Linked DNA regions of Notamacropus eugenii. The protein of the gene in region 1 interacts with the protein of each later gene in a pairwise test. Links are inferred from orthologs where the notes say so. Each region holds a gene or a part of one and is shown in the gene's direction. Other genes may lie near its edges. The genes, in order: kxDL motif-containing protein 1-like, IFT20, MOB1A and EXOC7.

The links.
Region 2: the proteins of kxDL motif-containing protein 1-like (region 1) and IFT20 interact in binary tests that used the Homo sapiens proteins (3 or more experiments, as listed by UniProt). The two-hybrid records come from large-scale screens. The link is inferred for Notamacropus eugenii from reciprocal best matches to the Homo sapiens genes KXD1 and IFT20.
Region 3: the proteins of kxDL motif-containing protein 1-like (region 1) and MOB1A interact in binary tests that used the Homo sapiens proteins (3 or more experiments, as listed by UniProt). The two-hybrid records come from large-scale screens. The link is inferred for Notamacropus eugenii from reciprocal best matches to the Homo sapiens genes KXD1 and MOB1A.
Region 4: the proteins of kxDL motif-containing protein 1-like (region 1) and EXOC7 interact in binary tests that used the Homo sapiens proteins (3 or more experiments, as listed by UniProt). The two-hybrid records come from large-scale screens. The link is inferred for Notamacropus eugenii from reciprocal best matches to the Homo sapiens genes KXD1 and EXOC7.

What each region holds. Positions count from the first base shown.
Region 1 is NC_092874.1:283,502,188-283,509,740, reverse strand, and holds the start of kxDL motif-containing protein 1-like, read left to right. Parts: upstream 1-4,535; coding exon 4,536-4,587; intron 4,588-7,553.
Region 2 is NC_092873.1:35,659,464-35,666,990, reverse strand, and holds the start of IFT20 (intraflagellar transport protein 20 homolog), read left to right. Parts: upstream 1-4,525; 5' UTR 4,526-5,016; intron 5,017-7,527. Other genes in the region: TNFAIP1 (BTB/POZ domain-containing adapter for CUL3-mediated RhoA degradation protein 2), read right to left, coding at 147-316, 635-848. UniProt on the Homo sapiens protein: Part of intraflagellar transport (IFT) particles involved in ciliary process assembly. May play a role in the trafficking of ciliary membrane proteins from the Golgi complex to the cilium.
Region 3 is NC_092872.1:750,729,223-750,736,665, reverse strand, and holds the start of MOB1A (MOB kinase activator 1A), read left to right. Parts: upstream 1-4,442; 5' UTR 4,443-4,690; coding exon 4,691-4,704; intron 4,705-7,443. UniProt on the Homo sapiens protein: Activator of LATS1/2 in the Hippo signaling pathway which plays a pivotal role in organ size control and tumor suppression by restricting proliferation and promoting apoptosis.
Region 4 is NC_092873.1:342,425,731-342,433,682, reverse strand, and holds the start of EXOC7 (exocyst complex component 7), read left to right. Parts: upstream 1-4,938; 5' UTR 4,939-5,098; coding exon 5,099-5,158; intron 5,159-5,348; coding exon 5,349-5,414; intron 5,415-7,952. UniProt on the Homo sapiens protein: Component of the exocyst complex involved in the docking of exocytic vesicles with fusion sites on the plasma membrane.

The sequences.
Region 1 (7,553 bases):
TTTGAACAGAATCCAGGGTCTGGAAATAAAGGTGAAAAACTGCTGGTGCCATTATTTGGATTTTAAGAGGTCCAATTTTCTTGCTTATTTTGCTGAAGTGAAGAATAAATAATGCATTTTACCTTGGGGGGGAAAAATCAAAGCATTTATTACAGGTAGGTAGCACTCTGTGAAGGGAATGGAGAAAAACAGAGCATTGATTGAAGTTAATTTTGCATCCTTGGGTAAAGACATGTCCTCCTACTGTCATTGTTTGGATTATATACTGCCATCTCCCTCCTCAAATTGCCTTGTTCGTACTTACCTGTGTGTGAGAAAAGAGGTGTTCTGGTCATCATCATCACCTCCAGTCTCCTTCGGAGGAGTAAGCTCCTTGCGGGCTGGGAATGGTTTCTATTTTTCCTGTTGTAGCCTCGTTGTACCTTACACATATGACCACGTTTAGTAAATACTTATTGAATTCATTTGAATTTTACCAGGTATCCCAAGAAGTACTAGCTTCAAACTGCTCTGTGATTTGGGGCATACCCTGAATATATTCATTATATAACAACCAATTTATAAGCATTTATTAAGGTCCCCTCTCCCCACAGCACTGTAATACAAACACAAAATGAGAAAACAGTTCATGGAGCTAACATTCTTTCAAGTGAGAGAATAGGTGCCCCACAGAACCATAGTGAAAGGGGCCTTAAATCTCCTCATTTTACAGATGGGTAAACTGAGGCCCAGAACTAGGAAGTGATTATCCCAAGGTCACAAGACAGTGTCACAAGCAAGATCTGAATTTAGCTCCTCAGTGCACAGGTGTGCCACCACACTCAACTCATCTGCACTGCTTGCCATGATGCACACATATAAACACAAGCGAAGTTAATATGTCTTCCAGCATAAGCAGTTTCACTGATGTGCAAACCTAATGGTATTTGAATCCAAAAAATATTAGTGCTTTCATCAGCACAGGGCTGGAAATTTCTTCTACCAACATCACAACTACTCTGTCTCTCAGTAGCAAGATCCTAGGAAATTGTCCAAAGCTCAGACTTTTACATGACTTGCTCAGGGTCACACAACTGCCAGAGGTCAAATTTGAACCCATGGCTTTTCTGATTCTAGCTCACTGTCTCAACACTCTCCTTAATATCCCCATGATATTTTGTTTCTTTTCCTCAGTATCATTAAGTCTTCTTGGTACCTGATGCAGCTAGCAACATGAAGTTAGAGAATCTTTGGTGCAGAATGATGAATCAGTGAAGAAGCACTTATTTTAGTACTATAATGTGCAAGATACTGGGGGTATAGTCCCTGTCCTCAGAGAGTTCAGTTCTATGGCATGGGGGCACAACAAATGCTTAAATAATTCTTTATACACACACACACACACACACACACACACACACACATATACAATGAAACGTTGATGGAGGAAGTAGAAGCTGGTTGGGGAGCATATGATATAAAACAGTATTGGTCAGAAGATCAAGTTAGGATTGTGTACTAGCCATAAGCTTCTGTGAAAGGCTCCTTCACCAGGAAAAGCCTCAGTTTCCTTGCATGTGAAACTGGGAAAATGATTCTCATACCAGTCATACCTTACTTGTAAAAAGGTTGTGAAGAAGGAACTTAGAATGCTATGTAACTGTGAGTTATTATATGAATGAGAGTGATGAGGATGATTATAATGTAAATAGGAGCCATTCTGTTTCAGAACAATGTGGCTTTCCCTGAATCTATTCAGAATACACGGAAGTTAATTAGCTCCCGGTGGCCCTTACTTCTCAAAGAGCAGGGATTATATAACTCAGTTTTGCCTTTGCCAAGTGACTGCTAATATTAGATGCTGCATTTCTGGGCTTGATAGAGCAGTCTGCAAACTTTTTGTCTCACAGCTCCTTTATACTGTTAAATCAAGAACTCCCCCTCCCTTAAAATCTTTTGTTTATGTACGTTAAATATTTACCGTATTAGAAATTAATATGCCTGGGCATTATTACGAAAATAATTTTGGCCCCCTTGACTCCAAGAAAGGGTCTCAGAGACCCCCAGGAGTCCCCTGACCACACTTTGAGAATTGCTAACTTAGAACCCTGAAAGCGGATGGGAACTTTTTGGTTGCTATGCACCCAGATCCCATTCAGTTCAACAAAACAAACATTTCCTGTGTGTATTCAATTGTGTCCATTTCTTTGTGACCCCATTTTGAATTTTCTTGGCAAAGACACTAGAGTGATTTGCCATTTCCTTCTCCAGCTCATTTCATAGAAGAGGAACTGAGGCAAAAAGGATTAAGTGACATCCCCAGGGTTATAGAGCTAGTAAGTATCTGAGGTCACATTTGAACTCAGGTCTTGCAGACTCCATACCCTGCCCAGGACTCTTATCTCTAGCTACTACACTAAGTAACTAAATAAGCTCTACACTAGATGTGAGGAGCGGCACAATGACAAGTAAGACTTGTGCCCTCCCCTCAGCAGGTTTATAATCCAGTAGGGATCTGTACAAAAGTCAAGCAACCAGTATTTGTTTTTTCTTTTTTCTTTATTTTGCATACAGAATCATAGTGTGAGGATTAGAAAGGGTGTTGATGATCATCTAGTTCAATCCATATACATAAGTAATCTCCACCATCACCTTCCCAGTTAGCAGGCCCTGCCGGGACCTGGTTAGATGCGAAAGATACAAAGTGAGGAGATTACAGCAGAGCTGCATGAAACAATCTGTAGAATTTAGAAATGAGATGGTAGAGTGAACAGAGTACTGGTCAGGAAGACCTCAGTGCAAATTTGATCTCAAATATTTACTAGTTGTATGACCCTGTGCAAGTCACTTCACCTCTGTTTGTCTCAGTTTCCTCACCTGTAAAATGGGGACAATAACCTCTACCTCCCAGGTTGTTGTGAAGGCTAATTTAAATAAATTCATAAAACTCTTTGAAAATCTTAAAGCAAATATCTGCAAAATAAATCTAGGTAATTTTGTGAAAGGGCAGGTAGAGGGCACCATAGTGCACAGAGCACCAGGGCTGGAGTAGGGAAGACTCAACTTCCTGAGTTCAAATCCAGCCTCAGACACTTACTAGCTGTGTGACCTTGGACAAGTCACTTCATTCTGCCTCAGTTTCCTCATCTGTCAAATGATCAGGAGAAGGACATGGCAAACCACTCCAGGATCTTTGCCAAGAAAATCCCAGATGGGGTCACGGAGAGTCGGACAGGACTGAACAAGAACAAAGTAATTTTGTGGGGGAGAATCAACAAAGGTCTCCTGGACAAAGCAGCGCTTGAGGTCATAGGAACGAGGAGATGCTAAGAGGCAGGTATGAGCAGGCGGGGAGTTCTAGGTGGGGACAAAGGCAAAGAGAGGGGAGATAAACCCCATTCGGGAGAAAAAGCAAATTCAGTTTGGCTGGAAAAAAATGTGAAAGGAAGATGATACCTAACGAAGCCAGAAAACCAAACTGACCCAAGTAGTAAGGGCTTTTAAACAACAAATAAATATCAGCATAGGAGAAGGTAAAATATGAAAGAATGTGAGAGACAGAAAAGTGTATCCATTTTCATTTCTGGCTTGGGTATGAGAAAAAGCTGGGTGGAGATCATGGAGGGTTTAGTGAAACTTGAAACATTTGAGCTGACTTTGTAGAAAAATTAGACCTTGTAGACAATAACAGTGTTTCTGGTGGGGGGTACATCATGGGCAAAGGCATGGAGGCAGGAATGTGCAGAATATTTTGAATAGTAAAGAGAGTGATTTGGCTGTAGTTCAGGGAACACTGAAGGAAAAGAGTATTAAAAAAAGACTTAAAATGACATTGCTGCCTGCCTTTTGTGACTAGAAACAAAAGAGAATTTTTAAAACAAAAGCAAGATATCAAGCTACTTTTAGAGACATTTGCCACTCAAAGAAGTTCACTCATAAGAGTGATTAATTCAGTCCAACAAATGTTTTTTCATTGCACTTACCATTAAATTGTGAGCTCCTTTAGAGCAGGAAGTATTTTTTTTTTTTGTCTCTTTTTGCATCCCCAGCATTTAGCACAATGCCTCACAGATGGTAGGTGCTTAAAAAATGTCTATTCACTAACTGATGCATTAAGACACTATGACTAATTTGGGAGATACAAAGATAAGAATAAAGTGAGCCCTGCCCCCAAGGAGCTTAATGTCTACTAAAAGAAGTCAGGAATCCAACCAGGCTTAAGGGATGATTAATCTTTAACTTTTCCTCCTCTACTGATTTGGTTTTATTGATTTTGTTTTTAGAAATGTGCTATTTTTTAAATACATTTTCCTTGAGGAAAGAATCAGTGACCATTGGTGAACATCAAATAACACCATAAAATGAAATAGTATGAGTTTTTCAAACAGAAAGAATTTTTCCAACATATTGTTGCTATGATAGCTATCTTCATACAGTTAGACCAGAGTTATATCTGAACTAGTTTTTTTAAAAGAATGAGAAAAATATATGGCATACATCTGAAATAACTTAATCCTGAACTGTTCAAACAAGTAACCAATGATCAGAAATAGGAAATGGACAACAGAAAAGACAACGACTTTGACTATGATGATGTTATTCTGAAGGGTAACCAGTGTACACCAAGGGCATGAAGAGAGTTCAGAAAGTGCCTAAATCAGCAGATATCTGACTTATTTGCTAAATAGTGAGAGATGGCTGCCAAAGGCAATGTTAGATTACAATATAAACCCATTTATAAAATCTTGTGGATAAGGATGATGGATGATTATGAGCAGTATTGTCTCATAAATTAAGGAAGCAAGCAGTAAGGCAAAAATCAGTTTAAAGGAAGCTTGGGAAAACATTCAACTAAAGAAACTCATCCCAAGGACATTCCAAAAGGGAAGAAGGATTGCAAGAAGAAAATGGGAAAGCTTTGTAAAAATCCTTATAACTAATGATTTCTTCATTAAGGACAGTGAAACAACCATATTTGGACCCTAGCACCACAGTGTGCTTACAGAAAAGGTGGAAATGGCACTAAAGAGCAAAAATACAAGGAAAGCGTCTAGATTAGATACTATTTATACATGAAAGAGATCTGTTTTGTAATCTCCACCGTGGTAAATGCACTGAAGGATTGATGTACTAGGCATCGGAAGAAGGGAAAAATGCCAGTGATGGAAAAAATCTTGGACCTTATTAATATAAAAAATGCAACTGAGAGAACATCAGTAACTACCAGCTTTAATTCCTATTCTCCCATTATGAGAGTCTTATATACACCAATAAAGAACATCCTCAATGGTCGTTATTACTATTAGCTTCTAGTTGCCAGGTCTGCTACCTGGTGATGACTTCATGCCCTGGGCCTTCTACTCCACTCTAGTTAAGTGCAAATAATGTTTATAGAGCAATATAAGGGAGTGACAGCAAATGTTTAACAACCAGACTCTCTAGGGGGAAATGTATGCATACACATTTAAGTCTGATCTGTGTTATTAACCCTTTCTTAAGTCTGAACAATCCACGAAACAGTAAAGCAAACCTAGATTTGTGGTGGTTGCAGATGATCATACAGAGCTCACTTTAGCACACCCCAGAGCACAGGTTTATTGCATTTGTGAGATTTTCCTTGTTGGATAACTGCTGGAATCAATACCAGGTTCTTAATCAAAAGTTTCTTTAGAATCATGCAATAATGGCGTTAAAAAGGACATCAGAGACCTTTGGAACCAACTCCATGACATTCCCAGGATTTAGCTTTTAGTTTCTATCTTGAAACTATGCCTTTGGGTCTAGGACCTGGGTCTCTCTGTCCCTTTGAGAGGGACCTCACACTAAGTTAATGTTCCTGTTCTCTTTGCCTCTCTATTTGTCTCCCACAGTGAGATGATAGAGCTTATACATAATTAGCTTCTGTTTTTACAGCTACCCACCCAACAAAATTGTCAGAACTTTCCAGGGGTTTGTTGGAGGCAGCTGTAACTGGCTTGTGAGCGTCCATTGTTAAATGATCATCTTGAGCATTTATACCTTAGAAAGGAGCAATTAGGGGCAGCCACATGGCATAATGAATAGAGTACCATCCCTGGAGTCAAGAGGACCTGAGTTCAAATTTGACTTACTAGCTGCGTGACCTTGGGCAAGTCATTTAACCCCATTGCCTAGGGAGAAAGAAAAAAATCAGCAATTGCCACAAATCAGAGCCAACTTCATGGTTTTGTAGATTTATAGACTTAAGAAAATGTTAATAATACAAATTAAACGTATAAGCATATGTGCATACGTGTCCTTATCCAGTAGTTAAACATTTACCAGCACACCCCTTTACTACTCCATAAACATTGCTTAAATTGAGTAGGACAGTGGAAGGCTTAGGAAATACACATCACAAGACTGGAGACCAGGTGATTGGAGGCTAATAACAATAATCATGGCTGGCATTATGTAGAATTTTAAGGTTTGAAAAGATCTTTCCATCCATCATCTCACTTGAGTCTCATGACAGCCCTGGGGCTGTTGGGTCTCCCGGTTTTTGAGCTCTCCCACACAGATTGGTGGATGGAGACCAAGTCTTACTCTTTCCCTCTGTAGCCAACTTAAGATGAGGGGCAAGGAAGGTCATTGTCTTCCCCCTTGGTCATATCTTGCCTTTATTTAGACCATGGAGGAAACATCAGAACTGACCAGGAAGTAAAATGATGAAATTTAATCCATGACAAGCCATCCATCCAGTTACTGAATACCAAATCTTTTCTGGAATGTTGTTTTTAAAAATTTCTAGACACTTGCCTTAATCCTCAACAGAAGCAAGTATGTCCTCACCCTTCCATTACCTTCCATTTCTAAGGTACAAGTATTGGGCATACTTATGTGAGTATATGTGCACATATTGTCTCATCTGACAGAATAGAAGCTCCTTGAGGACAGGAAATGGTTCTCTAGAGCCTCATACAGTATCTGGCACATGGTAGATCTTTAAAAAATGAGCGATGGATTTTATTATTAACTTACTTGAAAAAATTAAACTAGTTCTTTGATCTTAGAATTAAAGTCCTTTAAAGAATTAAAGGACTAGGTGACTCTTCTGATAAGATGGATTCATTCATTAATTCATTCAATACACATGGCATGATGAACCTGTGACTCTTGGGACACAGAAGCCATCTCAAAATTTCCCTCCTTCTTATATGAAACCACAGATAGACCACTCATCACTTTGCCCCTCTGTGGTCAAAAATTATGTCAGCTAAGAGAATGTCACTGAACTGGAGGATGCAAGCTATTTATTTCTGTCTTAGATGAGACAAATCACTTGTGTCATTCACCCTAATTAACATTAGGGTGATCATGAGATTAATATTAGGGTGATCATGAGAAAAAGAATCATTGACTTCTAAAAAATAAGTATGAAAAGCTCTCATAATGCCAAGTAGAACTGTTTTTGGTGGGGGCAGAGGGGGTGCCAAACCACTGATGAGGCTCTCCTCTCGATCTAAAACACTCAAGGCATAGTTCATTGTAAAGACAGCTGGTCGTGGAGTCAAACAGACCTGAGCATGAATCTTGCCTCAGACATGTTCTAACTG
Region 2 (7,527 bases), on another chromosome or scaffold:
ACGGTTTGCTGGCAGAGACTCTCCTAGCAGGCTGACAAGGACTGGATTTACTCCAAATTATATCTCTGCTAATTCTTCAAGAACAAGTCTGTAGAGGAGAGGGGGGAAGGACCCTGCAAGGCCCTGGTTCCTGCCCCTCTGCCTACCTGCAGTGCCATCTGACACATGTCCACCAGGCCCTGGATGAGGTAATATTTGGCTTCTGCCATCAGCTCCTTGATCTCCTGGCGGTTCTGGGGAAGGTTGATGGTGTCATCTCGGAGGTAATTCAAAATGGTGCCAAAGTGTTTGCCGCATCGGTCTATGAGGATCCAGCCTGGGAATTCAGACCAGAATCCAGGGCCATTACTGCTGGCCCCAGAGGACTTTATTTCCACTGCTCCTGAGCAAGGAGAATGGAGGGATGATCTCTACAAAGGGCTGTAGGAATGGGTGTGGGAAGTCACTCATTTCTGGGCCCTCACTTACCTGTAACAGAAGGGATAGCCCAAACTACCACTGACGTCCCACTCAGCTCCACTAGTCTATGAAAGGGAAAAGCCCCACATCTCTCATGCAAGGTCTGCCCTGGGACCCACCAGTCCAAGTGCTTCCTGCCGTTACCACTCTTATTTTTCTGGCCTTGGGTCCTTACCCTCCTTGTCAGTCAGCACCTCCATGCGCCCGCTGAACATGGCCTTGAGCATGGTGTCATGCCGGGTGAGCACCCGCACCGTGGTGTAGTACAGGGAGCCTCCAACATTGAGCTGGATGTATTTGTTGCCCATCCCACCACCCTTAAAGCCCCCTGGCTTGGGCTTAGATCCTGAGGCTGGGCACAGGCCAGCCAGGCAGGTATCTCCGGACATCTCCCGCTGCAGGTAGATGACCACACGGCAGGAGGTGGGCCTAGGGCGTTCCACTGTGGTGGAGGAAGTCACAGGCAAGCAGTTGGTGGAGGCCAGAGCCTCATAATCTCAGGACTGAAGGCAGAAGGGAAGAGAGAACAACAGAAGTCAGGAGGACTGTGAACTTAGAGTTAAAAGGACCGCCACAGTCTGGCCACACCCTGTTCCTCTTCTCCCTCCAGGTCCCCATGCAAATGGCTTGGCAGCCCTCAGAGATACAGGCCAGGGCCCAAACAAGAGAGAGGAGTAAGCTGAGGACCCCTGAAGACCAGACAGAGAGGTTCGCAGGGATCACAAAAATGGCATTACTATAATAACATGTAAGGTGTATTATAAATAACAAACGGGATGCCCGTCCCACCTAGGTGTATACTATTCCCAAAGGTTCAACAAGGTCCCAACACTGCAGCCAAGTTAACTGGGAATTTACGCAATACAAGACTTCTCCAGGATTCAGATGAAAGGCACTTAAACTGTCCATTTAAATAGAAAGGGAGGAAGTTGGTTTCCCTTCCCTTCTCATATTTCCTTCCTTCCTTCTTTTTTTATGAAGTAACTTTTAAAAGTCAATTCTGGTCTGTATTCTCTCTCTTCCTTCCCTCCCAACATCAAGAAAGCAAGAAAACCAATCCCTTGTTACAACCATGTGGGAAGGAACTGAGAGATACCACTTGGGGTTTCAGGAAGGGATGAAAAACACATGACTTGAGAGAAAAGACTGGAACAAGCTACAAGGAAGCCAAGGCTGGAGCATCTTCAACTGCCAGGCTGGATAAGCTGATGTGAGAATCATCAACACAGAAATAATTAAATTCGTGAAAGCTGGTAAGATCAAATGCAATATAGTCTGAAGGAAGAAGAGGGCCCAGGAGGAACCCCAGGGAATGTTCAGGAGTGATCTGGAAGAGGATCCAGTAAAAAGGAGCCTGAGAAGGTGCGGTCAGAGAAGTGGGGGGGAAAACCAGAAGAGAGAAGAGTGTCACAAAAACCTAGAGCATTCTAGTGAACTGCTACCCCTGGCCTCAGGCTGCTGGGTTCTTGATTCTCTCTGCTTGGCACAGAATTCATGCCAATCCTTGCAGTTTTTCTATGTCTAGAGAAATGACCAGAAGGCCACCTGCTGGCTTGTCTTCCTGAGCACAAGGGCAGGGGTTCCCAGTCCTTTCCTATTTTCTAAGGGGTGGAAGAAGATCCCAGAAATACTTCATGATCCAGGAAAACCACAAGATGAACCCCAAACACTGGGGATTCATTGTAACACGGAATTCTAGATGCTAGTGGGCCTGGGGAAGTAGAAAGGGAGACAGACTGCACCTCATGCATTAGAGACTGATTTTCCTTCCACCTACTTTTCAAGGTAGCAGGCTAGAGTTATAGGGCGGGCTGTCCTGAAAGTTAGGAAGGCTGGGGTTTGAGTCCTGAATAACTCTGAGCCAGTCGCTTAACTTCTCAAGGATCTTATGCAACTCTTTAAAACAATAAATTTCACCGATGTGCTTTTATAAAGGAATTTTCCTACAATTATGAAATCACAAGTTTGGTTCAAAAAACAATTAGCAAGGTGCACCCTAAGGTGTTCTACCCTTGGAACAGAACAGACATACCAGGCTTGTCTCCCCAACCAGGCTGTAAGATCCCTTAGGGCAAGAATTACACCCTAATTCTGGATCCCTCACAGTGTCTGCACATTGTAGGTATTCATTAGATAATGACTTTGGAGGAGAAACTACAGCTAAAAGGATCTGACTGAATGGCAAAGGAAAATGGGAAAATGTATTAGTAGACAAGTGAGGGCTGCCATAGATAGCACTCTAGGAGAACGGAGATTTTAGCAAAGATCTGACAAGGTCTCCTGCTGCTCTTATGGACCAGATAGAGGGAAGATGCTGAATGACTCCATCTAAAGAAGAGGCACTAAAGGAAGGTGGCCTTGGTTTAATCAAGTACCCCAGGGACCTGTATCTGGCCCTATGCTGTTTACCATTTTTAGGGGTGACTGAAAGGTACTGACCACATTTCTGGATAGTGACAGAGTCTAGAAAGATCTGTGCAGCGTAGAATGTTGGGCCATACCCAATAAGAAGGAATTTAACCGTGATAAAGATAGTCTTACATCTGGACCCAAAACAAGTCCATAAGCTAAGGATAAGGAAGCCCATTATGGTTTCTGAGGGATGGAGCTAAAAGAGACCATTCACCCAGGCCAGCTCCTCACTGTGCAGAGGACAAAACCAGGAAAGGAGTGACTTAGGCTCAAGGTCGCACAGCAGCAGCTAAACAGACTGGAGAGTAGTGTGGTGGGTAAAGATCTCTAAGGTTTAATGCTTTGCCATTAACAGTGTGCTACATGTAACACTGGCAGATATTTGGGAAGAAATGAATAGGGTCTTGGGCTGCATGAGGTGAGGTGAGACTCCTGATGGATTCTGCTCCAGGCAGACCACTTCTGGAATGCTGTGTTCAATTTGGGGTGCTACGATTTAAGAAAAAAGACCTTGGATAAACTGGTGGAGACCCAGGATTAAGGAACCAGGGATAATGAGCCTGGATAAAACTTAGCCAGGTGGAGGGAGAGAATGAGAACTATCTACAAGTATCTGATAGGGGACCCCAGAGGGCGGAGGCTGGGACAATGGGTGGAGATTGTAGAGAAACACAGGAGGAGAAGGTTCTTAACGAGATGGGGCCGAAGTGGAGTGGGCTGCCCCAGGAAGCCTTAAGGAGCTCTGTGCAAAAAGGGAAGGAGGACCACTCAGTGGGCATTACTGAAGTACACGTCGGACTAGAAGTGGCCCCTGCTCACTCGGCCATTCTGGCTAGAGAAGCAAGCGGAGGAAGGAAACACAGGCTCTGTCTCCTAACCTAAAGGGTATTTTCCTTTCAGCTTTTCTAAGCTGCTAAGCCTTCCGGAGCAAGCCAAGAACAACAACGCGAAGGGCTTCTCCCAGCCCTGAGGCCGTGGCCCCCTGCCGCAGGGATGGCTTCGGGGCCAGGAGCCGGGCCGCCCTGGACCAAGCGAGGTCAGATTACATTTCCCTCTGAACCAATGGGCTCCCGGGCTCCGCCCACAGGGAACGCCCTGAAACTGACTCGGGGGAAAAAGAAGTTTCCATCGAGCCCCTGAGCGCTCTTCCTTCCGGACTGGGGGGAGGTCTAGAGGCTTGGGGGTGGGTCCGGGCCTCGGCCAACGAAGCCCCGCGGACTAGGGAACCGACGGGGCGGAAGACGTGGCCCGGGAAGGGAGGCAAAGCGAGGCTCACCCCGGGGTCACCCTGCCCCCCAAGAATGTCTATTGCGCTCCCTTTCCGGCTCTTCCTCTGCTACCCGCTCTGCCTTCTTCCCCTGTTTTCTCCCCCTCCCTCCTCTCGCCCTTCTCCTCCCACCTACCCTTCCTCCTCCTCCTCCTCCCATCTCCCCTCCTCCTTCGGGCCGGGTCTCAGAGGACGGCGAGGGGGCACACTCACGGCCTCTGGTCCGGGGCGCGGGGCACGGGACGCGCCTCCCCACCTCCCCGCCCTCCTGGGGCGGACGCGGCCCTTCTCTTACCTTCGTCCCCGGAGCGTCTTCCTAGGGCTCTGTCCGGCCTGGACCCCAGCTCCGGCTCCCGCAGCCCCAAAGAAAAACGCCCCGACCCTGACCCCGACCCCCGCCCCAGGCTCTGGTAGTGAGCTCATATCCTCCTCAGGCTCCACCCCGAGCCCGGCTCCCACGCCTGCCGGGGAGGGCCCACGACTACAACTCCCAGAATGCAAAGCGAGGGAAGGCACGTGTCTCGGGGGGATGTTTTTCTCCTGCCCACGCCTCCTGGCAGCCGTCTTATCCCCGGGAAAGAGGGAAAGCGACTTCCGGCTCCTCCCTCGGCGCAAAGGAGTAGGGGAGGTGTGGGCTTTCCTTGCAGTCTAACCTTCGCTCCTCAGACTCAGCTTCCCAGCAGGCATTTCGAAGAGGGAGGTGGAACCATTTCCGGCGGCGAGTTCGCGGCGCGGGAAGTGACGTGTACGGTAAACAGGAGCTGTAGCCGTGGCAGCGCCGGGGCGGGCGGCTCCGGGCGGCGGATTTAGCTGCTAACCGGAGTGCGGGGCCGCCGTCTCCCGCGCCCGCCCCGCATCGCGGCGGGCCCCGGCTTCAGGTGGGTGGCGGCACGGCTCGCGCGACTATTGGCCTCGCCTCGGAGGCGCGGGCGGGTGCCTCAGTTTCCCCGGGAGGCTCTCGGGGAACCCCCGGTAGAGGGCCTGGAAGAAGTCGGTCGCCCCGGTTCCACGAATGTTTCCAGGGGGCTGCCTGCCCTGTGGCCCACGCCCGTCATCACTGAGTGTGGCGCTCGGCACCGCGCCCGGGACCCCACGTGGGACGGGATTTGGCCCGGCGGGGGCCCACCCGCCAAGTCCGAGGGCGGAGGAGGTGGCTTCGGGGCTGGGGTCCCTTTGTGGCTGTTGGGGTGGGGCTGCCCTGGCCTTCGGGGCTTCGAACTTCCCAGTCCCTTGTTCTGGGGGCAGCTGGTGGTGCAGAGGATGGAGGCCGGAAGACTTAGGTTCAAATCCGGCCCAGACACTAACTAGCCCATTGCCCCCCTCCAGAAAAGCAAGTGGCACCTGCACCCCATAAAAGGGTGCTGGAGGGGCCTGGCCATTCTTTTCTCTTCCATTTTTGTGTCTTGTGTCGATGGTAAAAAAGTTGTTAGGGACCCGGCACGCGTGACCTGGGGCCACTTAAGGTGAGACAGCCTGGCCGGAATCTGGTCTTCACCTTTTCGGTTTCAGAAATTTCATTTTAGCCAATTAATAGTCAACACTGTGTACCTGCCTCAGGGCAGCCAAGAGGTGCAGGGGGTGGAGCTCTAAGTCTGAAGTCAGGAAGACTCATCTCCCTGAATTCAAATCCAGCCCCAGTCACTTACTAGCTGTGTGACCCAGGGTAAGTCACTTCACCCTGTTTGCCTCAGTTTCCTCATCTGTAAAATGAGCTGGAGAAGGAAATGATACACCAAGAAAACCCCAGATGGAGCCGCGAAGAGTGGAGCACAGTGAAGAACCATTTAACCACAACTGTGTGCCTGGGGCTGTATGGGATGTTCAGGGAGGACCAGCTCCTCTGGTGTGAGGCCTTGCTGAGCCCTTTTCAGGGCTGCTCATTCACCTTTGTTGTTTACCTATCACCTGTGGCTCCAAGAAACTATCACGCCCCACGGCGTACCTCAGGAACCATTTTGGCCGATGTGACCCACAGGCCTCGAACCCTTGGCTGAGTTAGGGGGCTGTCTACCCCAGGTGTGTGAAGATTTCCCCAGCAGAACGGGGGGATGAGAACAGTTTGTTCCAACAGCCACAACAGTGACCGAAGTAGGTGCCGTGGAGGGCTCGGTCATGTATTGCAGCCTGGCCATTGCCAGTTGTCCTCAATTGGATGACTTTGGAAGAGTGAGGCTGGCAACCTTGCAGGACTGTTTCATTTAAATCCAATTCACAGGCAAGTCAAGACATCACCTGAGTTGTTCTTGGTCTTTGAAAATGAAGAATGAAAAAAATCAACACTATGTGCTTGGCGCTGTGCCAAGTGCTGGGGATCCAAAGAAATTCCTGCCCTCAAGGAGCTTGTAGTCTGATGGGGGGAGCCCCCTCCAGGTGACCTGGCCTGGGGGCACAATGCTTGAGGAGTTGAAACCAACAAAGTAGCTGAGGAAGTTAACCAAAAGAAGGGAGGCCTTGGGGAGGAGTTCATTGCTCTGTCCTCCAGCCCTCCCTCCAGTCTGAGGAGAGAGGCACCTGAGAGTGCTGAGGAGGTGTGAGCAAGATGATAAGATTTCAGGGGAGGAGCTTTCCTGGGGGAGGCAAGATGTTCCTAGAGCTGAGCCCATGTCAAGAGAAGGCAGCTGGAAAAGTTAGCTGTTCCCCAATGACCGAGTCCTAGGGAAGCTTCGCTTGCAGCAACCCAGCTAATGCAAACTTATTAATTTGTAATGGGAGAATCTGTGCTGCTTGTCTGCATAGGGCACTGTTTCTTGGGTGTAGACCAGATACCCAAATCTGAAGGTGACTTGGTGAGCCCAGCTGAAGAGCAAAGGGGGCTGTATCTTTTTTAGGGGATACTCACCTCAAGCTAGGATAATTTGATGGAGTGTCTGGTAGCAGTCATCTGGCATCAGAACACTCACACTTCTGGATGGTCGGGGAAATACATCAACAAGTCCTTCCCCTTTGGCTCGCACCTGCTCTAAGGCCAGCAACACCTTATGATGTTGCAGTGCAGCTAGTTACAACTTGCCATGATCTGCATTCTAGCCATGATTCTCTTTAGGGATGCTGAGGCCCCAGGTCTTACTGAACCCAAGTTCACCAGTCGTCCACTGAGCATTATTCAGCTTCTTGAATAAATCTCTTTATCAAAAAGTGGGTATCATACATACCTAATCATCAACCTTTTAAAATTATTGTTGGTCATAGTATTGATCAGAGTTAGGTTTTTCAAAGTTATCTTTACAATATTGTTATACTATCAGTTCTCTAGGTTCGTCTCACTTTACTCTGCATCAGTTCATAAATTCTTTCCCAAAACTAACATTTTCCTAATTTCTTGCAGCATAATAAAATTCATTTATTATTTGTTTAGGCATTCCCCAACTGAGAGGTGCCTCCTCAATTTC
Region 3 (7,443 bases), on another chromosome or scaffold:
TATCATCCCAGGATCCCGGAGTGTTAATGTTGGAGGGAACTGGAGGCTCATCTCCCAGAGGAGATAGTTGAGGCCCAAGAAGAGACTTGCCCAAGGTCATGCAGTGAGAGAAGGTCTTCTGTCTCTCAAGGCCTCCTTCTGTGACTTGGCTCCCTTCTCTGGATTCCTGCAATACTTCTTATCAGTGCGATAACTAAATAACAAACAGTAAATTAATGGAGTCCTGCGCAGTGACCAGCCTCCCACTAATGCCCAGAACTGTTGTTTAAACCTGTTCTGGCTACTGGACTCTCATGTGACCATCTACAGCTGCGTACTACTTTTCTTCCTACCTAGATCGATCATTCAACCACCAAACGTTGATTAAGTAACTACGGTGTATAAGATACCATAGAATCGTCAGTTCGGGGACAATGAGAAAGTCAGAGCACCCAGTGCACCCAGTGCACATACTCCTGGCGCAGGCTAAACTCCTTTCATGGCCCCAGGCCTCAGTTTCTCCCTTCTTCCCTGTAAAATATTGGCCCTGACCTGGGAGGTCCCTTCTGGCTCTCATTGGGAGGTTGGGAGGCTGCCCCTTTTCTTAAACTTCCTTTCTTCTTCTATAAAAATGAAGGAGCGGCTGGAGGGACTTTGGGGTCCCTTCTATCTCCACATCCAGTTCCTTTTAGTATTATAAAAATTGAGGGAGCAAGGAAAAATGGCCTGTGACACATTCTGGCAAGTCACCTCTTCAGCTCTTGGTGCCTCAGGCAACTTTCTGAGACTGGAAGTTGTAGAGAAGGTGCCTATCTGTGTTGGTAGAAGGAGTTCCCTCACCTGGGAGTCCCTTCTATCAATAAAAGCCTGAGTCTAGTTTCCATCCCTGCCATAGAATTCAGGGTCCTGGTTGAATTTTAAGAAATTTTTTAAAAATGTAATGTAACTTTTTGGTAATGGGAATGCAATAAAGATTTGTTGATTTGAATTTGACCAAATGAGCTGTTAAGGCACTGTACATACAAAGAATTTTTATGATGAGAAAAATGGTTTTGCTACAGCCTTGAAGGTTTATGAGATCCCTCACAGTACTCAGGGACATGACATGAAGGAGATTCAGATGGTTAGTTGGTAAACATCTATTAAGCACCTACTATGCACCAGATTCAGAGTCCAGCTGGAGAGAAAACCTTCTTTCAAAGTTCCTGGAGTCTAGCTAGCATTGTCCCCCCATTGGATGGACAGGGACCATCAGACCCATGGCTGACCCAAGCAGCACTTTTCCTGAAGTCACCTGCCTAAGGAAGAGGCAGCCCTTCTATCAATGGACAAGATTGATAGAGCCTAGGGACCAGGGGCTGTGCTGGGTGCTGGGGCTACACAGACCTCCAAAGTAGGGGCAGGGAAGGTACCCGATAGGTTATGCACAAAATTAATACAAAATGGGGGTACTAACAGCTGGGTTAAGGAGGAAAGGCCTTTGAGGTGATCCCTGAAGGGAGCCATTGTTCTAAAAGATGGTGGGTAGTAGGGATAACACACCAGGTTTGGGTAATAGTCTGGGCAGAGAGGTGGAAGTAGGAAGTAGGATGCCCTAGGATGGCAAAAAGAAAGCAGGCAGTCTGACTGGAGGATTGAGGGCATCTGGGAGAATGAAGAGTTATTATTCCAGAAAGATGGTCTGGAGCAGACAATGAAAGGATTCAAATGTCCAAAAAAGACAGCTATGTATTTGATTGTAGAAGCAATCTTCCCTGGGCCCCAGTTTTCCCATCTGTGAAATGAAGATAACCCTTGGACAACCTACCCATCAGGGCTTTTGTGAGGAACCAAACCAGGATAAAGTACTTTGTCATTGTGGGAGATCAGCAATTTATGGGTAACTTTGACTTTTGGTGAATTGTGTAGGCGCTGAGAGGTTAAGGAACTCCCTGAGGGTCACACAGCCAGTTCAGAAGGAAGCCTGGAATCTGTTACACCCCCTGACTCTCCTTTCAAAAAGAGAGAAAGCCCTGGCTCCTACTGGAAGGGACCTTTGAAGGCATCTGGTCCAACCACCTCCTTTTAGTGGTGAAGTGACTTGCTCAAGGTCCATGAAAATGGTAGACCTGGGACTGAACCCCACACTTCAGCTCCAAATTCCATGCTCTCTTCACTGCACCACCCTGCCTCTATAGATTTCTAACCACTATCAAATAAATGTCACCTGCTACTAACATTTGGTTCTGTCTTCCTCTCCAAACTCGGGCTTCTCCATCCCATTAAACCCAGTCCCATCTCTTTCTCTGTGTCTGTCTCTCTGTCTCTGTCTCTCTCCTGGCCCTCTTACCTGGGTACCCCCTCCTTCTGTACTATTATTTGAATGGGCCATCCATTCTGTCCTGAAGATGCCAAGAGCTAAGGCCAGCTCTTGCTTACTCATTACCAATTAATGCTCCCGCATTTGCTTTCCAGAGGTCTCTTAACATAGACAAAAGTCTATGCTAACAAGTCATGTGGCTGAGCTAAGCAGAAGGCCACTCTGGGCCTCAGGAGAGACAGCTCCCACACACAGATGGCAAGAGAGGTTTCATCAGCCCAATTAATTCATGAGTCATTTCTTTTTTCAGGGCAGGAAACACAAAACTGTATCAAGCTGTGGGCAGACTAAGAAAAGTTACTCGTTATAAAAATACTCAGTCATTCTTTAGTTTTTGGATGATTAAGAAACATTTAGACTTTCCCTGGGCCCCTTTCAGACACAACAGCTCTCAAAACCATTAGTTAAATCTTAGAGGGATTTGTTTCCCTCTGCGTTGACAGGGGAGTGTCCATGCCCACCAACAGACTCAGAGTTCTGGTAGTTTTTGTTATCTTTTATGTCACTACGAGGAGGCCTCCTCGTAGTGACTGGAGCTACGGCAAGCCAACCTTACTTAGCCCACCTTCTGCAAGGACCCTCCAACTCCCACCCATCCACCCCAAGCATCCCCACCTGTACATATTAAATGCTCATGTCAAGGGCCAGGAGCCAACTTCAAGTGGGTGGGTGGGTCACAATTCAATGCCATCTCAAAGCATTTATTAATTCCTACTATGTGCAAGGAAGGCCCAGTTGTTGCTGATAGGCAGGAGATAAAGGAGTGAATAAGATTCGAGGAGCTGTGCTTCCTCTGGGACCTTAGGTCTTTAGACACAGCTTGGGAGAGGTAACGCAATTTCATTGGTCAGAGGGAGCTCTCAGGCGAGACAGCTCCACCTATCAATGCAGATCATAGGCTTTTCTGCAGTGTAGAATCTGAGCAAGTTTCCTAGTTAACTGAAGGTTCAATGACTTGCCTGGGGTCACACAGGGTTGGAAGGGGTCTTGGAACTGTGGTGGGTGACAGATGGAATGACTGAAGAAACAGAAGTTCGATCCCACAGCTAATCGATTCATTAAAGCGATTCATGCCTATGGGGACCGGATCTCCTGAATTTAGGGCAGACAGACTTATACACATTAAAACCAATTCATCAATAAGGCCAGTTAGGTAAAAGGAAACAATACAACGTTGGGTCATCTGATTTCTAGGAAAGACCGGGAAGGAGGGGGAGAATGAACAGGTACAATTCCCCGAATTCAGAGAAAGAGGGGTCCCACCTCCGAAGTGTCCATAGACAAAGGAATATGAAAACAGGAACTGATTGATCAGTATGGGACCAGTTTTCAGCTAATACTCATCGGTTTCTTGAGATGTACAAGCGTGAGAAAACTCCTTGCATCGATCTTTGGATCTAATGGAGTTTCTGGTCAGCACAACCGAGGTCCTTGGCTTGGGCCATGGGATAAGGAGCAAAGAATGTGGGGTGTCAGGGCCAGAGATGCCCCTGGAACATGGGACATCAGGGCCGGCAGGGACCGGAGGGCGCTGGACATCAGGGCCGGGAGGGACCGGAGGGCGCTGGACGTCGGAGGACACTGGACATCAGGGCCGGGAGGGACCGGAGGGCGCTGGACATCAGGGCCGGGAGGGACCGGAGGGCGCTGGACATCAGGGCCGGGAGGGACAGGAGGGCGCTGGACATCAGGGCCGGCAGGGACCGGAGGGCGCTGGACATCAGGGCCGGGAGGGACAGGAGGGCGCTGGACATCAGGGCCGGCAGGGACCGGAGGGCGCTGGACATCAGGGCCGGGAGGGACCGGAGGGCGCTGGACATCAGAGGACACTGGACATCAGGGCTGGGAGGACCGCTGGACACTGGACGTCAGAGGCGCACTCGGAGCGCGGCTCGGGAGGGTCCCGGGTCCCAGGCCAGGGCAGGACACTTGGCACGTGGATGCCTGACCACAAGTGACCCCTCCCTCCCCGGGACGTCCCCTCCCCCCCGCGACCTTGACCTTGCCCCCCCCCCCCGGGCCTGCAGCACCTGCGGGGGGCGGGGCACCGGGCCTCGGGCGCTGATTGGCCGCGGGCTCTCGGGGGGCGGGGCTCCCCGTCCCTTCCTCGTTCCTGCCCCGGACGCGGGAGGGGGGGGCGCTTCCTCTCGCGAGAGCTGCGCGAGTTCCGCATTTCGGAGCGGGGGGCTCGGGTGGGCGGCTCCGGGCGCGCGCTGGCCGGGGATCGTCCGTCTGTCCGTGCGTGCGTGCAGATCCGGGGCGCCGCCGCCCCTGTCCCTCGCTGGCCGTCCGGCCTCCGCTCCTTTGCCTCCTCCGGGCCCCCCGCGCCCCGCCCCGCTGAGACGAGACGAGATGAGCTTCCTCTTGTGAGTGCGGGAGGGGGGGCAGGAGGAGACACCCCCCCAGGGCTGAGGGGAGGGTCTTGGGGGGCCCGGGGGCCCCGGCGCGCGGGGATGGAGACCCCAGGACCTGGGCCCAGGGTGGGGCGCGGCGGGGGGTCCGAGGGCAGCCAGGGAATGTGGGGGCGGCCCGGACTGAGGAAAGGGGGGTGACGGGCCGAGGCCCACTGTCTCCCCCGGCCTCCTGGGGGGCCCCCAAGGGCCCGGCCCGGGGGAGGAGCCCCCGGAACCCAAACTTATCCTCATCACCCCCCCGTGAAGCCCCCCCAGCAGGGGGTAGTGCCCCCCCAACCCGGCTGCACCCCCCCAGCAGGAGGCAGTGCCCCCCCACCCCTGGCTGCGCCCCCCCAGCAGGAGGCAGTGCCCCCCCACCCCTGGCTGCGCTCCCCCAGCAGGAGGCAGTGCCCCCCCACCCCTGGCTGCGCTCCCCCAGCAGGAGGCAGTGCCCCCCCACCCCTGGCTGCGCTCCCCCAGCAGGGGGCAGTGCCCCCCCACCCCTGGCTGTGCTCCCCCAGCAGGGGGCAGTGCCCCCCCACCCCTGGCTGTGCTCCCCCCAGCAGGAGGCAGTACTCCCCCACCCCTGGCTGCGCTCCCCCAGCAGGGGGCAGTGCCCCCCCACCCCTGGCTGTGCTCCCCCAGCAGGGGGCAGTGCCCCCCCACCCCTGGCTGTGCTCCCCCCAGCAGGAGGCAGTACTCCCCCACCCCTGGCTGTGCTCCCCCCAGCAGGGGGCAGTGCGCCCCCCCACCCCTGGCTGCACCCCCCCCAGCAGGAGGCAGTGCCCCCCCACCCCTGGCCGTGCTCCCCCAGCTTCACGATGTGCAGGCCCCCCTGAGGGTCTGTGATCCCCGACCCTGGGACCCGTGACCCCCGGCCAGGTCCCCACTGCAGGGCCAGGGCCTGGTACTCAGGAGGTGCTTAATCAATGCTTGTTCCCTCCATCGTGTCACCCTGGGGCAGTCTAATCAGTGAGGGGAGCTAGGATAAGGAAACTGAGGCCTGCAGAGCCAGGTGACCGGCCAGGGCCACGCAGGCCTGCCCCAGACCTGACAGCCCCAGACCTGGCAGGGGACCCAGCCTCGGTTTCCCTGTCTGTAACCCATCTCACAGGCGGTGTGGAGGCCCCTGAAGTGACACACATCAAACACTGTGCACCAACCCTCCTGCGTGCTTCTGCCTCCATCCTCCTCCTCCTCACCCCTCTGCCCTGACCGCCTCAGCCCACCCGGCCCCTTCCCTGGCAGCCTCACCCTGGTCTGAGGTTCTCTGGCCTGGGATCCCCACCTTGTCTTTGTCCCTGCTTAGAGAAGAGGGCCAGGCCCGCCAGGCCAGCATCTGTCTTCCTGACCTCTGGCCGGTGGCATCGGTGGTGCCAGGGCAGTGATGGCGGGGGAGGGGACAGCACAGGCTCTAGAAGGAAGGCAGTCCTGGTGGGAGACTGGCTTTGGGTTATACAGGTTCGGTTCTGTCTGGTCCTGATGATGGTTCATGGGCATTTAGAGAGCGCCTCGCCTCCTTTCTCCAACAACCCTGGAAAGGAGGTGCTAGGATGGTCCCCACTTTGCAGCGGAGGAAACTGAGAAACACCTTAAGTGTTTTGAGCAGGACCCCCGAGGCAGGATTGGAACTCAGGTCCAGCACTAGCTGCCAGTGGAGTTGGAGAATACTGCATTTGGATTTAACAAGCATTTATTAAGCTTCCGTTCATTGGGGGTGGGGGTGGAGAGACAGCATTTACCCATCCAGGTGGCTCCCCAGACAGCTTGTGGTTGGCTCCTTTCACCTCCTGGGGAGCACTCCCAGGTGGTACCCTGGTCTGCTTCTCTGCCAGTCCCTGGGGGAAGCGGCCAAATGGAAGCCTGTTGAGGACAGGGGCAGATTTCATCTTTGTCTCTGCATCCTGTAGGGTCTGGCACACGCTGTCCAACGCTGCGTGTTTGTGGATCGAATCCGGGCAGCCGTGCAGGAGCAGAGCAGGCCCCCAGTGCAGAGCCTTCCCTCCCCCTCCAGGAGTGCCCGCTGCCTTCCATGCCCGGGGGCATCCATCAGTCAGCAAGCATTCATTGCTTCATTTCTAATTGATTTACTTTTTAAATTGTGGACTAGAAACCACCAACAAATAAATCATCCCAAAAGATGAGAAGGTGGAGGGGGGTCAGGATGCTGCCTGTGCCTTTTAATAGCCATCACTTCTAAAGTGGCGGTAACAGCATTGCCCTCGCCTCGGGCTGAGCCCAACCCTGGGACCTTCTCCGCAGTTTTTAAATGTTTCACTTCCTCTTGCTTTTCTTTATAACGTCTGTCACTGCTCTCCCCTTCTCCTCCTCATAGAAGCCTCTCCCTTTTACCAAAACCTAGTCAGGCCAAGCCCAAGGGAGAACAGAGATGCCTTATCTCCATGTGAAAAGGTCATGTGGCAGCATCTAGGGGCCTGGGTTCAAGTTCTGCCTCCAGGCTTCCCAGCTCTGTGTCCTTGGACCAGAAGCTCTGCGTCCCTTTGAGCTCCACATCTGCGGCCCCGGGGTCCTTTCTCATCATCGTCAGAGCAAAAGCAATAATAGTTACACACTTATTTAGCAGTTTAAGATTGACTGAGCTCTTTACAAATTCGATCTCCTTTGATCTGCAGCGCCGCTCTGAGCCATAGGAAGGAAAGAGGGAAGGAGACAAGTGTTTTGTTTTTGGAGACAGTTGAGGGGGGCATCCCA
Region 4 (7,952 bases), on another chromosome or scaffold:
TATCACAAATCAACAGACAGGTTTAACTGTCTGACCATAGTTGCCAGAGAGGGAAGCACCAACATCTGGGTTTTCAAAGCTGGAGGGTTCCTTAGTGGCTTCCCAGAGTCTCGTCTGGCACACAAAGCTTCTTCCAAACACTAAGTCCAAAAATAAAACCTCAACTCAGAGTATTTATACCTTTTTTAGAGCCAGAGGACCTTCCTACAAATCTCCCCCAATCAAATTCCCATTAATGGGCAGGCCCATTAATGGATGGGGAAGATCTTTAATCACATATACATATACATATACATATACACATATACAAATACATACTATTTCTAGTTAAAGAAACTCTTGTTTCTGTACTTTATTACTCGTGAAGATTCTTGGTTGATAAAGGCAAGATTCAATCAGAGGCACTTGATTATACTAAAACAAAAACAGCAAAAAATCCTATTTTGCTTGCCTTTACACTGAGAGAGGGAATGATTTTGCCTAAGGGAGTTTGTTTGTGGGGAGGTTTGATGGAGGGAAACTCAGAGATGGTCATGCTCCCTGCATTGATAATGTATATAGATTTCTTTGTTACTATGATGGATTTGGCTTTCTGATATTTGAATAAATGTCTTGGTTTCATCTTTGAGGAAGAGAGTTTATATTTTGCAAATTTACCCTGGAAATACAGATGCATATCCATAATGGCTGCTATGGGTGTTGCATTGGTGTTACACAGGTCTTCTTCATGGCCTTCATTCTCTTGGTCCTTTATCTTTCTAAGGAAGAATGTCCACTATTCCATATCTTGTGAGATCTTCTGTGGTCTTTTGGCTTTGGTTTTGCGTTTTCAGAGTAGCTTTCTCAATTTGCTTCCATTGACATTCAAGAAGATATTCCTACCTCAATGAAAGTTGAGCTCTTCTTAGCATAGATACCACAGTCCTCCATGTCTATTAGCATTTGCCTCACCTCAACTCACTATGGTGACACCAGCCAAGATTCAATACCAGTCATGAGTGGATAAAGCTCAGAGCTATGTATTACCTTTTTCTGGTTACTGCAGACTAATCTTATCCTCTTTCTTAGATACTACCATACTTCTCTGAATTATTCTCTGTAATTGAGAATGTACTTTGACTCTAAAGTCAGGAGGTTTATTTTCTTTATGCTGATCAATAGAACATGTAAATGTAGCATATGCTTCCTGAAGAGTTTCACCACCGCCATATTGCATCTCTAGGTTTTGGATACATATTAGTCATGTGATTTTAAGCAATCTAGTCTTTAGGACCTGTACAGAGCAAAGAACTATTACAGGAAGGAGCTTGTAGTCCCCTGGACCTCAGTGGCCTTTTCAGTAGCAGGGGCTACCTTTATTAGATCTATGGGCATATATTACTCTCTCTCTGCTTAAAAGTTCTCTTATTTGTGGAAACTTGCACTTGACTAAAATGAAGTCAACGTCTCTTCCTCCTTTCACACCTCCACTGAAGTGAATATGGAATGTATCTCCTGCCCTTTAAAGACATCTAAATCTCTTGCCTAATCTGATGTGCACCTGCATTAATTTTATTAGGATTTAGTAGCCATTGTCTTTTCTTTAATGTGAAAGAGAAATTGATAGGTAGGTACATAGATAGAGATAGCACATTTATAAGGGGCTGACCATGTGCCCACTGTGCTAAAACCATTGGAGATACAGAAACAAGCAAGCAAAATAATCGCTGCCTTCCTTACATTCCAATTGAGGAAGATACTAATGAGGGCTGGAGAGATAGAGATATAGGAATTCCAAAACTGTAGTTGCCTGTGTGGGCCATTTGGAAAAAAATTCCCAAACTCAAGCATTATTAAGGTCAAGGTGGTAAAGATTTATTACACTTTTCAGCGGGCAAGAGTTCTTAGGGAACCTGCAACCTTGGAGGGGTATAGGTAAAGTTTATATAGGATATTCTATAGTAAAACATGTGCCAAATATGCTAACTAGGTGATTCAGGGCAGAATTAAGGAGTGATTAAGGAGTGGTTAGTTCTTAAAAGGAACATGCACTTTTGGTATCTACTGCACAGGTATTTTACCCAGAGTTCTTTGGGAACTAGCCCAAGGAGGGAGTTTTAGGCCTGAAATGCCACTAAGTCAACTAACAGACAGGACTGACTAAGTAATAAAAGGCTGCTCTCATCAATGTCTTGTTAGACAAGATAAATGTGAAGGAGTATACGTATGTCTAAATCTAGGATAATGGTGAGTAGTAAATGTCATTATGACCCAGTACACAGCCGATTCAAACTAATAAATTCTACAGCTGGCTACTGCAGCAGGAAGGGAGACAGCCATTTTTGCTGGAGCAGGCTGTTGTTGGGCTGGGAGGCTAAGGAGAAATTTGATTTTTAAAGAGAAATGTGATTTTAGAATTGGGGTCCAAGCACATGTACCCAAGCACCCCATCAATACCTTAAAGGGGAGCTGTAAAGCATGAAGAGGTGGGGTAAAGAAACATAGTGAGGCATGTGAATGTTCAGAAGTAGAGATGAAACCTAGCTCCAGGAAATATAAGGTGAAAGGTCATCAATTAGAAGCCAGGGTGATTCCAGGGAGGAAGTGAGGTTGATGAAAGGAGTAATGAAGGGGGTAGGGGGAGAGAGAAGAGAGGGAATGATGCATTGACTTGGGTTGTTAGCTACAGAGGCAGAATCAGCTTTTCCTCACAGGAAGGGAAAAGATAAACTTAGATGAATTTGGCAATTAATGGGAAACTGATCTCTCACCTGGAAAAAGAAAGAATAGGGAGCTATCCCTTGTGATGCTTGGCATCACCAACTGTTAACTCTCAGCTCTTGGGAATTTATAATTGCAATCACGTTATATAGCAATATCCACCCATCAAAGTGTCAAAAGATGGGAGTGGAGGGGTAGGAAAGGGAGGAAGACAGCAGGCAACAGGACATTAGCCACTTTGCTCAATTCTGCCCACCCACATCATAGAAGATAAAAAACAAACTCTTCTTCCAGCTTTTTTTCCCCAAAATTCTATAACATATAAAGTCCTATAAAGCCAAGTTCAAAAAACCTCAGCAGTTGGTGAACTCTTGGGGAACATCTGCTTGAGTCTCTTGTCTCTGTAGCAGGGATAACTGGGCTAGGTGTCCATGACCCCAGGGCTACGTTCAATACTACAAAAAGTGCTGCTATGAATATTTTGGCATCTATGGGATCCCTCTTTCTGTCATTGACTTCCCTGAGCTATACACCTAACAAAGAGATCTCTAGGTTAAGGGGCATGCTGATTTTCATCACTTTTTTAAAAGCATAATCAATAAATCAAATATTCATTAAGTGGTTACTAAGTACCAGATGCAGTGCTAAGGGCTAAGGTTAAAAAAGACAAAAGTGAAACAGTTCCTGTTCTCAAAAAGTTTGCATTCTAAACACTGTATTCTATACCAACAGAAAGGTTGGACCAATTCAAGGCTCTGTATGTATTAGAACACCTCTCTTTCCACAGTCCCTCAGTTTCAGTGTTTCATAGAGACAGTTTCCTTCCCAACTTGTGAAGAGTTTGGGGAGGTCTTCCATATGTTTGAATTGGACAGGGTTATGCTGACCTGAAAACTACCAAATAACAATTTTGAGTACCTAGTTGGTAAAGTGGATAAAATGTTGGCCCTGGAGTCAGGAGGACCTGAGTTCAAATCCTGCCTTAGACACTAGCTGTTTGCCCCGGGGCAAGTCACTTAACCCTGTTTGCCTCAGTTTCCTCCTCTGTAAAATGAGCTGGAAAAGGAAATGGCAAATCACTGTCATTGCCAAGAAAACCCCAAATGGAGTCATAAAGAGCAAACAAACAAAAACCAACAACACAAAAACCAAAAAACCATGATTGAACAAAAACAAAATGCTGAACAGGGATGCTGAAACTGGTCTCCAAAGGGGACTTTAAAGATCTGAGCAGGACCATTAGTGGAGATGTTGACATTCTCCCTCCACTCCCCAGATCAAGAGGACTCTTAGGATGGGTGCTAAAAGGCTAGAGGAGGGAGGCACCCAGACAGCTAAAAAGTCCTGTGTAAAATTGCCAAAAGGTTTAAATTTCCTCTCCTCAACTCTGTCTCCTTGTGCTAGCTATGCTAAGAGGCACTGTAAAAAATAGAGATACGTAATAAATACTGCCATTCTTTTAAAATTTCTTCCTTATTCTGATTTCCTTTCTCTTTACTTAAGGCCTGTGCTCCATCATTAAAGCTCTGTATTGCACTGTCTGTATATTGGTGTATAAAGGAGTATAAAGGAGAGGACTAGCAGCCACCTGAATACATTTTTTAAATAAATCAAAGATTCTTTGATGACACATAGATTTTTATAAACGGAACTTCTTTGGTCTGGTGACCAGAGCCGCCTCTCTTGGTGAACTTCAGGCTTTTTATTAACAATCTGTATTTTAAAAGCGAACTTCCCAAAGACGAGTGTAAACTGGATCAAGACTGGTTTTGCTTCTGCTAGTCAGCGCCTGCAGCAGACGGGTTCACTAATAACTCAAGCGGCCCACCTTCAGAAGCACCTGGACCCACACCTGGGGAAAGGGGAAGGCTCCGCCCCCCAGCCGAGCCCCCAGGGCGGAGGCGGAGACAAAAGCGGAGATTGCCCCGCCCCTTTCTGTTGGGAGGAGGCAAGTCCTCCTCTGCCAAACTCTGGCTGCCCCCGTGACCCCCGCTGTCTACACTGATTTGTGTTAGTTCCCAAGAGATCTTGGACATAAAAACTTTATTTTACGCAATGATGTTTTTCCCTTCGAAAGAAGGCTTCCCTGCTAGAGGAAACCACTTCCTAGGAGATACACTTGTCACGCCCAGCAGTGATTTGCCCAGGAGCGAGAATTTTGTGCGCATGCTCCATCTCAGCGAGGCGGGGGTGGGGGGGTTGGGGGAGAAAGAGAGGAGGAGTGTGCGCATGCGCCGTCCTAGCTCCATCTCCGAGAGTGGGTAGGCCCGCAGCAGACGGAAGTGGGTGTGCCGGAGACGGTGGCCGAAGAGGGCCGCTCCGGAAAGGGCCGATGGAGTGAGGGCCGCAGGCCGGAGGGGGTCGCGGGTTCCCTAGGCCGGTCCCGCTCGGAGCGGCTATGATTCCTCCACAGGAGGCGTCCGTGCGGCGGCGGGAGATAGAGGACAAATTGAAGCAGGTGAGGCCGAGGCGACGGGAAGGGGAAGGACTGCTTGGGAGATGGAGGAGGGCTTGGGGGGCGCGGAGGTGGGGAGAAGGAAGGGGATGGGACCCGCGGCCGGCGGGGCGGCGGAATCGCCCCCTCTCCGGCCCACCCCACGGGGTGACTAACGCCGCCCTCCTCTATCATCCATCCGTCCATCCCCCAGGAGGAGGAGACGCTCTCCTTCATCCGAGACAGCCTGGAGAAGAGCGACCAGCTCACCAAGAACATGGTGAGTGTGGGGCACGGCCCCCGACCCTGCCCTGTCACCCGGCAGGCCTTTATGGAGCGCCTCCTCGGTGCTCGGCGCGTCGCTAACCGCGGGGGACGCAGACAGGCCGGAGGCAGTGCCTGCCCTTCTACGACCCAACGGGAGACCCGTCGTGCAGACAAACACAGATAGGAGAAAGTAGAGTGTGCGTGATTGCAGAGAACCTGGTGGGTGTTGTGTGGCCGCAGTTTCCCCGTCGGTAACCCGAGGGGGTCGGACTCATTGATCCCTAAGGCCCTTGTCGGTTTTGGCTCTCTGTGCTCCGGATGATTGTATCCTTCTCCGATTCTGTGATGTTCCCCTCATGTTCGGTTCTGTGGGCCACGGGCTGATTGCAGGGTTTTCGGTCTACCCAGCTCTGCCCCCGCTGCCTCTCTTGAGTTAGGACCCAGAAGCTGGTTACTCTTCTTATGTCATGTTTGCCTTACTAGTTCCTTGTCAGGTACCCCAAATAAATACTGATTGGGCATCCACCTGCATGTTACACTGTGTACAGGCTCTGTGGAATATAGAAGAGGTGGTTTCTAAGCTTATTTTCTGAAAAGGAGATTAGATGAGCACAAAGGAGTAGATTTAACTGTGATCGTGTACAGGTACATTAAGCACCAGGATGGTAATAAAGGTACAATATGTATGGAAAGCAATAACTATGTGCCTTTATACTTCCAAATTTCAGTTTAGACATTTATTAAGCACTCATTGTGTACAAGGCACTCTGTTAGGTAGTGGAGATACAAAAACAAAGAGAAACTGCCTTCCTTCAAGAAGCCACCAAGTGGCTGTAAGAAATGAGCCACATGTATAACCTTAAAAAAAAATGATAGAAATGATAAATATGTGTAGATAAGATAATTTGAAGAGACTATGTGCTAACAATTGGGGAAGTGAAAAGAAGCTTCATAGAGGGAAAAGGCACTGAGTGGATCCTTGAGGGAAGATAAGAATTTTGAAAGGCAGAATTGAATAGGAAGTATATACTAGATATGGAGTATAGTTTGTGCAAATGCATGGAGACAAAATATGGAATACCTAATTAAGATAGGTAATGCACTTAGTAAGCACTTGCTGTGTACAGAAACAGTGTAGCATGCTAAGAATGCAAATGTGTGAAGGGGAATAATATGAATTGAAGTTACAAAGTTAGGTAAGAGATAGACTATGGAAAATTTTAAATTTTAGAAAATTGTACTTTATTTTAGAGACAGTAGGGAGCCACTGAAGATATTTGAGCTGGGGAAGGACATAGATGTACCTGTTCTTTAGAAGGATTATTTTGGCAACTCTGTTGAAGGATTGGAGATGAGAGACTAGAAGTTAGGAAACCGGTTAGGAAGTTATTACAATAATAGTTCTAGCAAATGATGAGAGCCTGAACTGGGGTGAAAGTGTGAATGGAAAGAAGATTCCACATTTTGAAGGTGGAATCAACAGGACTAGGCAACTGATTGAAGTTTGTGGGGAAGAGAGAGAGGGAAAAGTTTAGGATAACTCCAAAGGTCCATACTTGGGTGACTAGGATGAGGGCAGAGAAACCAAAATAGAGACATTACTTTCATCAGTGTGAGTAATCTCTCCACCTGTGCACATCAAAACTTCTACATCCCCTCGTGCGGTTTCGTGAGTTGCTGGGGCCAAAAAACTTCATCTTCTAATAACCAAACATTTGGTGGTGAGTTTCTTTGAACTTAACTAGACTGGTTCTCAGATGACATTTTGTCACCGATTCAGTGTCTCAGTGTGGAACCTACCAGAGTTTGCTTTTCTTTCTAACAGACTTCACGATTCCCACTACAACATGATGAGGCACTGAAGCAGAGCTTTTGTGAAGGAATATCTGTGTGCATGTAGTTATTTATAATAGCCATACACATATATAACAAGAGGCAGTGGAATTTGATGGATAGAAAACTGGTCTTGAAACTGAGAAGACCTGTCATACATTGCAAGTCACTCAACCTGTCAGTGTTCTAGACCATCACTTCTTAAATTGTGGGTCACAACAGTGGGGCTTTGAAAATGTTGGCAACAGTAAACAGCGAAACAATCAAAAACTAATTAAAAATCAACCAAGTAATGAATGCCAGGTGTTTTCTGGCAGTACTTGCCCATGTTGCTTCTTGCAGCTTCACTTCAGCCTTGGTTCTGAACACAAAGCATGCACAGGTTACACTGTACATGCTCTCAGGCCATACACCAAGGAACACTGCCAAAACATGAAAAGGGGTCCCAAGTGGAAAAAGTTTGAGAAGCCCTATTCTAAATAACTCTCTATGAAGCCCTATTCTAGACAACTCTCTAAGTTGCAGAAAAGATGCTGATCTGTATTGGTAGAGGGAGTTCCCACACCTTGATCTTCCCCTTGCCTGCCACTTATAGTATAAATGTTTATTGACTGACTGACTTGACTTATTCTTGTGTACATACAGACAGACATATATATTTCATGTAGATAGAAGCAAAGAGTAGGTTTTGAAAGATTGTCAGGACATCTGGAGCAAA